Linked DNA regions of Yarrowia lipolytica. The protein of the gene in region 2 interacts with the protein of the main gene of each other region in a pairwise test. Links are inferred from orthologs where the notes say so. Each region holds a gene or a part of one and is shown on either strand. Other genes may lie near its edges. The genes, in order: YALI1_B09266g and YALI1_D13611g.

What was found.
Region 1: the proteins of YALI1_D13611g (region 2) and YALI1_B09266g interact in a two-hybrid assay, tested with the Saccharomyces cerevisiae proteins (3 studies listed by BioGRID). The link is inferred for Yarrowia lipolytica from reciprocal best matches to the Saccharomyces cerevisiae genes BNI1 and PFY1.

Annotation. Positions count from the first base shown.
Region 1 is NC_090771.1:924,653-927,871, reverse strand, and holds YALI1_B09266g (uncharacterized protein), read right to left. Parts: upstream 1,186-3,219; coding exon 1,173-1,185; intron 1,106-1,172; coding exon 738-1,105; downstream 1-737. Other genes in the region: YALI1_B09279g (uncharacterized protein), read left to right, coding at 1-180; YALI1_B09258g (uncharacterized protein), read left to right, coding at 2,044-2,961. UniProt on the Saccharomyces cerevisiae protein: Binds to actin and affects the structure of the cytoskeleton. At high concentrations, profilin prevents the polymerization of actin, whereas it enhances it at low concentrations. By binding to PIP2, it inhibits the formation of IP3 and DG.
Region 2 is NC_090773.1:1,359,242-1,367,163, reverse strand, and holds YALI1_D13611g (uncharacterized protein), read right to left. Parts: upstream 6,054-7,922; coding exon 345-6,053; downstream 1-344. Other genes in the region: YALI1_D13574g (uncharacterized protein), read right to left, coding at 7,366-7,922. UniProt on the Saccharomyces cerevisiae protein: Required for the assembly of F-actin structures, such as actin cables and stress fibers. Nucleates actin filaments. Binds to the barbed end of the actin filament and acts as a leaky capper, slowing both polymerization and depolymerization.

The DNA.
Region 1 (3,219 bases), on a different chromosome or scaffold from region 2:
AAACGGCCCTTCATTGGCTTTGCTATCGAGCTGGTGGGCATTCTGGCGCTATTTGGCGACTTTTTCGCCGTCATTGTCGCGTTTCTACGGTCCATGCCCGTCATTGGGCCTATTCTCCGCCACCCCGCCGTGGCTCCCGTCATTGACCGACTTGCTGGAGTCCGAATTCTCCCCGTCTAAGTTGCCATACCGGACTCGGTATACGGGGTATTGGGTGGATCCAGGTCAAGTAGTTGCATAGATGTATAGATATGGTGCTTGTTCGTAGAGGCCGGTGTCGTTTGCCTTGGATCTCTTATTATGACGTAGATATTATCTCCATATTACCCTCTCCAAATTCCGTTGCTGATCTCGTCATCGCCAATTGAGTTAATTACTACCTTGCGCAGTGGCAATCGAGCACTACGCGGATGGGGAAGAGCATTGGAAACGGAGATGGTCACGTGAAGGGGGCCGGTGTGCTACGACCAGCAATTACATTACACGGTACTGTTAGTTACAAGTACCAGTACAATTGTACCTGTATTGCACTGTATGTACTGTAATACAGTGACTACAACGTCACCTCTCCTACAAAGGACACGTGACGTGAAGAGGACAAGCGGGACCAGATGTCAACTGTATGGAGTCTGGATCATTTCTGCAGGTTCAATTGCAACTGTCGCCTGTCCTCCCGCTCGCATGTCCCACCCTCCACATGTCGTCAGTCGTCACTTCCAATCATTCAATATCATTCACTAATAGTTAGCATTGATGAGATAATCTCCCAGAGCCTCAACGACCTTGGTGGCCTCTCCGGGCTGCACGCCCTCGGGGTAGTGGCCCACAATGATGGCCTGGCCGGTTCGCACGGCGATAATGCCGGACTGCTCGTGCTTTCCGTAGATGGATCGGTCGTCGGCTCGCAGAAGGAAGTACTTCTGGCCAGCAATGTGCAGACCGCCAGCCTGCAGAGGAGAGGGGTCGTCGAAGCCCTTGGCCAGCTCCAAGACCTCGGCGGGGGCCACGGAGAAGCCCGAGGTGGTGCACCAGACGGAGTCACCGGCTCGGGAGAAAATGGCGGCCTTATCGACCTTGCCAGATCCAACCAGGTTGTCAACGTAAGCTGTGTTAGTGTTGCTGTGGGGGGGGGAAGCGAATTGCGCCCGCTCAGCGTGCCGTTAGCTGCTCACCTTGCCAAGACATGTTTTCGTGTGTTGTGTGTGTTGTTTGGTAGTGAGTATAAGATGAGATGTCGTGTTAGGAGCAGCTACAGATATGTACACTTGGACGTGCGTGATCTGGCGGTAGGGTAACCTTGGGGGGGGAGTGAACAAGTAAGGAGACAAGATGGATTGGTTTGGGTTTGTGGTGTGATTAATTGGAGGAGGGGGGGGTCGTAGACACGTGACGAGACGTGACGTCTTCCCCCCGCGCCGCGCCCGCGCCCCCCCCCCCACGTGGACCCTCCTCCCTCCGTCTTTCGTTCTGGTTGCTACTCTGTTTTGACATGTACGGGTCTTCCTCCTTGCTCCAACCATGTCTCTGCTCTATCCTCTAGACCCGGTCTAATTCCACGTCTAGTGGCGTCTGAGTTCGAGTCTGAGTCAGTTTGGCGGCCGTGGGATTGGAACTAATTACCACGAGTGGGAGAGCTGGAATCCTAACAGTTCAGTGCGGGTGCGGTGAACTATGTACTTGTACCTACTACTTGTAGTAGTAATTAGCCTGAGTGAAACTTGCAAAATTGCTGAGTCGTAGTATGGCTAATAAGGAGGTAGATATCTCCATGGTTGGCAAGATGGCGGATTCGCCCCGATCAAACATCTCATCTGCCGCCTCGTTGATGCACCCCTGAGTCTTCGAGGCTTTTCTATAATAGTATTGCATTTTCGAGTTCCCCTGGCCACCGGACAGGCGTGTGTCTGCATGGAATGTCCGGATATGAAGGGCTAACTCCGTTATCTCCATTGGTCCCAAACCTTAAAATATTTGCATGCACTGGGAACTGTACAAGGATATTTTTGTAGGGCACTGAAGTTGCACCAGAGTTCCGCGCACAACATGGCCCCTCCGACACAAAGACGATACACAAACAACCGAAAGCGACGAGGACCGCGAGAGGTGGGCGGAGCCAAGACAGGCGACGGTCTGACGCGTATCATGAAGCGAATCAGAGACCTGGAGCGGGTGCTCAAGCGGCCGGTTCCTATGGACGAGCAGAAGCGAATCGAGCTGGAGCGGGCGGTGGCGGCGTACAAGGTGCAGGCCGAGGACATTATTGGCGACCGAAAGAACAAGAAGAACGTTGAAAAGTACCGGATGATTAGGTTCTTTGAGCGGCAAAAGGCGTCGCGAAAGGTCAAGCAGGCTCGCAAGCTGGTGGAGCAGGCCGATTCGGATGCCAAGAAGAAGGACGCCGAGGCTCTGGTGGTCAAGTACATGGCCGACCTGGCCTACACGATCCATTTCCCCAACGACATCAAGTACATTTCTCTGTATCCCAATGGTGCTGTGGATGAGACTGCCGAGTCGTCCAAGCAGCGTGAGAAGATGCGGGCGGAGTTTGCCGAGCAGATCAAAAACGGCGAGCTGGACGTGGATCTCGAGCGGGCCGAGCAGGTTGCCACCACCAAGAAGAGCAAGAAGAAGCGTGAGGCTGGCGCCGATGAGGAGGTCAAGGGGGACGACGAGGACGACGAGTTTTTGGAAAAGGCCCCCAAGAAGGCCAAGGTTGAGGAGGAGGAGAGTGATGATGATGAAGAAGATGAAGAAGACGACGACGACGACGACGACAGCGACGACGATGACTCTGATGACTCTGGGGAGCCCCAGATGGAGATTAAGAGAACTGCTGACGAGAAGCAGACAAAGGAGGAGGAGTCTGACTCCGAGGAGTTTGTCGACGAGTCTGAGGCCGAGTCTGAGGGAAAGCCCGAGTCTGAGGAGAACTCAGAGGACCAGGATGACGAGTCCGAGTAGGATATGGATATAGATTTCTAACATGTTTCATTATATACCGCGTGGAGGGTAGGGGTGTTGGTTAGATAGTCTGGCAAAGGTGTGGATATGCAGGTAGGAGGAGACCGTATCTCATCGAGAGAGTGTTTGTTTGTGTGCGTAGGCAACGTGTTATCCCTGCTTGGATGTGGTATGGGGACATGATTGTTTTATTGGTAGACTGTACTGTGCTAGACAGAGTCGAGTGTGTCTCTCATGGCTTGTTAGGGTCTTCAGCAG
Region 2 (7,922 bases):
AGTATGACCTACAAGTAAGTAGTGTACTTGTACTGCGAGTACAACTGCAACTTTTTAACCTATCCAGCAGGCTATCAGCCCTGTTTATGAAACAAGTTGAAGTAAGAAACAAGCCATTCATCTACGAGTACTGTATGTACTTGGGTGCTGGACTCATGACATACCCTTCCCCAATACAAAATGTCAAGATTTTTTTATCTTCGGCTACAAGTATGTATAGGTACTTGTACGTACTCTACTCGAACTGTAACTATCTCCATGATTACATCGACTGCAACTTCATATATCCATGGAAACATTTCTCTCATTAGTCAATCATGCATTGTTTATGTAATCGTGTAGTTTTACTCTTCATCATTTGTGTATCTGGAAGATTGGGACGAAGCCGTACCTGGTCGCCGGGGGGTGGGAGAATCGGGTTCCTCGGACGACTCTATCTCAGTTTCGGGCTCCGCACTGTCTCGCCTCTCCGCCTCAATATCCTCCTCTACCTTGATCTTCTCCGCTGCGCTGGGCGACCGGTTGGTCGCCGAAGGCGACAGGTGAGGACCCAGGTCCGAGTCGGAGCCAATCGACATTTTGTTTCGCAGTCGGTTAGCCTTTCGGGCTCGCATCTCTGCTAGTCGGCCTTGAGACATGCTTCCAACGGATCCTGTGCTTCGATGGCCTCGAGGAGATGCTCCTCCAGACCGCAGAGCCTGCAGCAGGTTCTGCGCACGGGTACCAACGTCATCGTCGTCGTCGTCGTTGGGAGTGGTAACTGCCACCTCAGGAACAGCTCTATCAGGTGTGTGAGCGTCTTCTGTCTCATGAGGAGTTCGAGGTGTCGAAACCCCCTCTGGCACGTCACCACGAGACACATCAACAGACAGGCGAGTAGACGTACGTGATGACGGCGCTACTGCTGGAGCTTCCGTGTCTGCTTCGTCATCTCTTGCGGGTTGCACTTCTGTTGTGTCAGCATCGGCATTTGGAGAACCCTCCCGGATCTCGGTGGTGTCACCCTCAATGATGATGGACTTGTCGTAGTCGTCAGCATCCTCAATGAGGTTCTCCTGGTACAATTTGGAGGAAGCATCCTGGTTCTTGCGGGCTGCAGCTCGTCGACGAGCTGACCGAGCACCATGAGAAGACTTTCGAAGTCTTTCCAGCAGATCATCCATGACTAGGTTCTCTCCAGACTCGGCAGCCGCAGCGGCAGCATCCTCAGCAGCCTTTCGACTCGCCAATGCACGCTGCTTTCGAGCTTCGTAGATTCGATTCTCCTCCTCTCGATGCAGGTTCTCATCCTTGGCCTTTCGGTACTCCTTCACAAAGGCAACAAACTTGCCAAAGAAGGTGCTTTGAGACTGCATGTCACCAGGATCTTCACCGAAGAAGCGCATGATCTGGGAGAATTCGGCAAGAGTAGTTTGCAAATGATCCTGCAGAAAGTTGCGCTTCCGACGAGCTGAGTCCATGTGCAGATGCATGTGTGTGATGATGCGGTCTCGAGGATGCAGCCGCTTCGGGTCCGAAAGAGCTCCAACGTCCAATGAAGTCTGAATGTTGGAGATGTTCTGCATGTAGTCTCTGCAGTCGTTCTGCAGGTGCTCCACAGAGAGACGCTCAATGGCGCACACGGGAGCAAGCTCGTCAATGAAAGAGTCCACCTCAGGGAACGAGTTTCGAACCAGCTGCTCGACGTAATGCAAAAAGGTTATTGTGTTCTTCTCGTCCTTGGTGAAGATGAGACGCTGCAGAGTTGCCAACTTGAAGCCTGTGGCCTGCTTGTTGGCGTCGTTCATGTAGTTACCCACAGACAGGATGATGAGGAAGATTCGGCGCAGCATTTCTGAATTCTTGAGAGTTTCACACGCAGCGTCCACAGACGTTAGCTTGGTCACCAGATCACTGTATTCCTTCTCAAATGTGCACGTCATCAAGATTGCCCGCGTTCGCTGTCGCCAGTAGTGCTGGAGATCAAACACCGTCTGCAAGTAGATCTGGTCGTTCCGCTCCAGGTCTTCCACATTCTTCTCGGGCTCACGCACCTCACCATCCTCGAACCGAGTAGAGTAAGGCGTAAGCTGACGAGTCACACTGTTGGGGATCTCCAGAACCTCGTCCTTAAGCAAGAACTCGAGGAGAACGGGGTTTCGGACCCGTCGGGACACAGACATGAGCTCGGAGACAATTTCGGGAACACCCAGGTCGTTGAAGGTGTGGAAATTGATACCGATCTGCTGAGACAGGTCTCGTGCAATCACAGAAAGCTTCTCAAAGTCGCCCTCCTTGGCGCCCCGCTTTCCAATCATCTTCTTTGCCTCCTTGGCCGCAAAGATTCGCTCTACCTCGTCGAAAATGCCCTTCTTGTACAGGTCAGCCTCTACATCGCCAGAAGACAGCTGCGCCCAGAAGGTATGCTCCACGTTCTCCAGCTTCTCCCAGTGCATCTGCTTGAGCTTTCGCTTGGGCCGTCCGATGGGTGTTTCGAAACCTGAAGGAAGCTGGGGAGAAGGAGACGGCGAGGGCGTCGCACCAGCAACAAACGCCGGAGCAGGAGGAGGAGGTCCACCTGTGAAGCCAGGAGGCAGAGGAGGCGGAGGAGGAGGCGGAGGAGGACCACCTGTAAAGCCAGGCGGAGGAGGACCACCTGTAAAGCCAGGCGGAGGAGGACCACCTGTAAAGCCAGGCGGAGGAGGTGGTGGAGGCGGAGGAGGTCCTCCAGTGAACATGGGAGGAGGTCCTCCAGTGAACATGGGAGGAGGAGGCGGAGGAGGCGGAGGCGGAGGTCCGCCAGTAAACTTGACTGGCGAATGTGCATTTTCTTTCTCCTTCTTAGCCTCAGGCTCGTCGTCAATTTCGATGACCACGTCTTCAGGCTCTGTCTTGGTCTCCTTTTTGACCCGTGTAACAGAGGAGTCGCCTGCATCCTCATCCGCACTATCGATATCGCCATGACCATCACCACCCTTGCCACCCTTGAATTTGGCCACAAGCTCGTTGGCAAACGGTAGAGCACTGGGTCTGTCGTGAATAGAAGGCATGGTGGCAGCATCAGGACCGTTTCCAGTGCCATTGCCACTTCCAGTACCTGAGCCAGACCCGATACCATCTCCACCTCCACTCCCGTCCCCAGCAACAGCCTTGGGCTTTCTAATTTCCACAAGGGTAGCTGTGGCAGCCTGGGGCTGGCCCTGCTGCTGCTTCTCACCGCGTCGATGCCGCTCAATGAGTTCAATCTCCTCCGCAGAAAGCTGAATACCGGGGTCGTTCATGGCCAGAGCCACATCGCCAGAAGCCTCCTGAAGACGTCGCAGCCGCTCAACCTGCTGCAATCGTCGCTCGTATAGATCCTGCTTGGAGACATCTGCTGCGTTGAACGACAGCGCCAGCTCGCCCGAGGCCTCCTGGAGCTTCTTTAGCCGCTCCAGTTTTTCGAGTCGACGAGCATACAGATCCTCCTTGGTGAGAGCAGGTGTTGAAGCATCGGGCTCCTCGGTATCAAACTCATCTTCGTCAAAGTCGTAGCTCTCAAGTTCACGTGCCTGAAGCTGAAGGGCCTCCATTCGGTCTCGCAGCTCTCGCAGACGAGGAGAAGGTTCCACCTGGTTGCGGCCAACTGACAATGAACCGTACTCGGCAGTCTTCTGATGCACCTGCTGCTCCAGACGTTGCAGCATTCGCTGTCGATCAATGATGCCTTGCGACTTTCCGCCCTCGGTGCTGACCATGGACGTGTCGGCCGCCGCAACCTCTCGCTCCTTGAGCATCATATAAAGCTCTCGAATCTCCAGCTCCTGCTCCTGCAGCTTGACTAGCGACTGTTCACGTGCGTCCTCAAGCTCGGATCGCAGAGCATCGTTCTGGCGCCGAGAGATTCGCGCATTGTGCTCCATCTCCTCCAGCGTCTGGTGCAGCTTGCTGATGACTCCATCCGAGCCCTGTTGCAGTTGTTCCTCCATGCGCATCTTCTCAGCCTCGGCTATCTCCACATCCCGTAGAGCCTCCTTTGCTTCGAGTATCGCCCTCCGTGCTTGGTCGTCAGTGTGTAGCTTACCCAAAAGTGACTGCACCGAGAAGTTGACCACCGAGCGGAAATCAACGTCTGGCATGATTCTATCCATCACCAGATGGGTCACCACAGCATCCACCAGCTGCAGCATACGAGCTCCGTCCTCTCGAGGGTCTTCTCGAATCAGCAGCAGGTGTTGCATGATCGACACAAAGTGGCCCTCGCCCTGCGTGTGCTCCACACGGCTCCAAATCTCCTCGGCTATCGCCACAGGGTCAGTCATGTCGCCCACATTGGCTTGGCGATCAAGAGCAACCAAATCCTCAAAGTCCAGTGCAGCCTGCTCGTCGTACTTCTGCAGCTGCTCGGTAAGCAGATCATAGTTGAGTGCCTGCATCCGAGCTGCAATACGAGGCAAGCCGCAGGCCTTCATCTGGGATCGCAGGTGGACTCGCACCCGAATGTCCTCTACGCCCTGAATGAGAATGTTGATCAGGAACATGGTGGCTAGGGAGTATTCCATAAGTAGGGACTCAATAGAAACTCCTCCGGACCGAAGATCGTCCGATGCCCCAACAAGAGAGCCAAACTTCCCTCGGCCAGCTAATGTCTGTTCCACCACGCTGAACCATGCGTCGAATCGGGACACCTCATTGAGGTGCTGTTTGAGCTGTGAAAGACCCGCCAGAACCTGGTCATGGCCTTTAGGTGCGTCCCAATGTGCCAGGAACGTCAGAACGTCTGTCACCAACTTCCGTGTACTCAGTCGTGGGGACACCAAAGATCTGACAATGGGTGCCACGCACTTGGAAGTTCGAACAGCGTGGTCGGCACCATCTCGCAGGTTGAGCAACGCCTTAAGACATCGCACAATGTCGTACTCTCTGTCCAGGAAGCCCTCGCTGTTATTGGTTCGCGAGTTGATCTGCTGGAGCCATGCAGCCAGAGCGACCTGCCCCTGGGCATCAATAAAATCTCTGACCCAGTCAACAGGCTCAGTTCGCAGTGAAACCCAAAGGTTGCCCAGCTGCTTGGATGTGATGGTATTGTCAAGAATCTTGCGCACGTAGAACTCAGGTGAATGTGAGTTGTTGGACTGTGATGGTGTGGGAAGATGGGGTGTATGGTGACTCTGTCGCAGTCGTCCTTTTTGATGGTCGGCCAGATGGTCCTGGACAATGAGCGTCCACTTTTTGTCGGTGGGATAGCTGATCATCTGTCGTCGTGCTTCCTCTGGCAGGTTCTTGAAGTCTCGCTTGTTCATGAGCTGCATATACAGCTGGTGGATGGTTGCCTCGTCCGGAGGGTGTTCCAGGTCCATTCGGGCCAACGAGATGCTTGACTCTCTTGCGCTATTGATGCTGGGCGGCCGTGATCCTCCGCTGAGTGTCGATTCTGCCTCGGTCGAAGAGGTGTCGTGTGAGGACATGGACGACTTTCGTCTGTGGCCCGTCTTCAACATGTTGGGCAGACTGTGTAGCGAGCCATGGTGCTGTTGCTGTGGCAGCGGTGGAATGGGCGCCGAGATGTTCTGGGGTACAAACCCCGATCCAGACGCATTATCACCTGCTGCGGGCAGATACGGCACGTGGATGGGCTTGTTGGACTTTTGCGAGATGCTGTCGTAGGCCAACGACGAGAACGCCGACGAGTTGGTCGGTATGGTATGCAAGTTTCCGCCGTCGGGATCGTTGTGGGAGTAGATGGATGACGTGTCTGATCCCAGGGACCGCACCGAGTTCTGTTTGGACAGCTTTCGCAGGCCCAGGCCCTGAGTTACCGACTGGAGCTTTCCCGCTGTACTGCTTCGGATGGACGCCGAGTCTGGCAGAGGGCCAGAAATGTCGTGTTTCTTTGCCTCGTTTCGTTTCATATCTGTGTTAGCATCAGGAGTGAGCGCCATATGGTACACGTCCCGGGTGGCTGTGTGGATCCTTTGCGACCACCGTGGACATATGATTCTTGGAATTGCACTCTTTTGTGTATCTTCAGCTGCTGTCCGCGGTGGTCTTGCTCCACTGGTCCCTCGTCCCCCTCCCCCGCTCGCCACCTCCATTGTTCACTCACCCTCCACTAAATACCGAATGTCACTGTGTGTGTGTGTGTCACTGGTGTGTGTCGCAGTATCGCTTTCTCTCCCTCGCTCGTGTCGCAGCTCTAAGTCTCGTAATAGTGCTGGTCTGTGTATCCGTTAGCAAGACGGTGATCCACACGTTCTGAATTGGGTGCCTGTGGATTTGGGTTGTCTTGCAGACACGAGTGATGGCTGCTAGAGTTAAACTATTAGAAGGGATACGAAATGGCGCAACAGAGTCGCACTGCGAGTAGCGAAGAACGGAGTTGGGAGATATACGGACAAAGTGCAAGTAGAGAGAGAGAGGGAGAGAGAGAGAGAGAGAGAGCTTGACGTCTCAGAATCATACTCCCTTTAGGAAGGAGCAAACTTGACCGGCCCCTGATACCCTCCCCGCAGTACACAAGACCACGTGTTAACTGGGCCTAAGCTGACCGTGTTGCTCCCCACTCTGCAACCGTTTTTTTTTCGCGCCTCACCTCCAATTCACACGCCCAACTGTCCACCATAGAGTTCACCCTCTGACCCACCAACCCACTAGCCCACTAAGCTTGGTATTGTGCCGACAAAGTAGTTATAGACCCCTTTGACGACAGCAATAGTAGGATAAATGGGGTGGTAGGAAGATAGCACCGCTCGAAACTAGCAATATTGCACACCTAGACCACATACAACATGCCATACACTACATAGGATACCAGGGTACCCTGGAGGATCTCGCCTGTACCTCACCGCATCCCACCATTAACTCCGGCACAGTACATAGGGGTGCATAAGATCGGGTCAGGTAGAGAAGGGAGACCCAGTATTATATGCACTACTACGCCAGGGGGGCGCCAGAGATAGGGCCATAGGACTGCCATGGTCACGTGAAGTGCCCATGGAACCCCCGTCGCTGTCTCACTGGGGGGAAACAGGATCCAGCCGTTCTTCCATCTCCGTATAAACGTCCTTGAATCCCCCCAGCCAGGGGTAAATAGTCTATATATAGCATCGACATAATCGCTTCAGCCTGATCCTCGGATGCTCGCCAAAAGCAATACGTCGCTTCAATCTACCCCCTAATCGATCTGCGGAGATTTCACAACCTCGAAATTGGATCGACGCATCTGGAACCGTTGCATTAGGAAGCTCACGTGCCCAGTCTAAACCGATATTGATATTGGTAGAGTACAAGTACAGCAGGGTTGATGATAAATACTAATGCAGTAGCTACAAGTAGCGGTACTAAGTCTGAGAATTAAATACTAATGTACATACAATACTAATGTACGTAGAATGCAAATGACTATCGCTACAGTCGCTTGTACTTTCGACTGTCCTTCTTGGACATTCGGGTCTGGTCCCGCATGCCCTTACCACCTTCCCAATGGGCACTGTGACGAGGAACATAGGAGTATCCACACGAATCACACTCCTTGGTAATGGTCTGCTCTCGACTGCAGGCTCCACAAAGCATTCGGTTGGCATGTTCGGCAACATGCATGCTTATGTCATCGTGGCACTTGTCACAGGGGAATACCTTGCCACAGCACGAAAACCGGAGCCATCGGTGCGACTTTTTGTAGTGGCGACAGGTGCCCTCGTTAGGAAGAGGCTCGCCAATCTTAATCCCCAGATTCTCCTTGGCACGCTTGCGAACATGCACCTTCTTCAGACGGTCGGCAGGGATTGCATAATCGTCAATCACCTCAAATGTGCACTGGGGGATTCGAACCGTCATGCGAATATGGCACACCCGACAGTTGACAGTGGCCGAAAAGCCGCTCTGGAGACCCTTGAGCGGTTGCGGGAACGACTCAGAACAGTTCATGCAAGTAGGAATAAATAGAGAAGGCATCATGTCAAAGG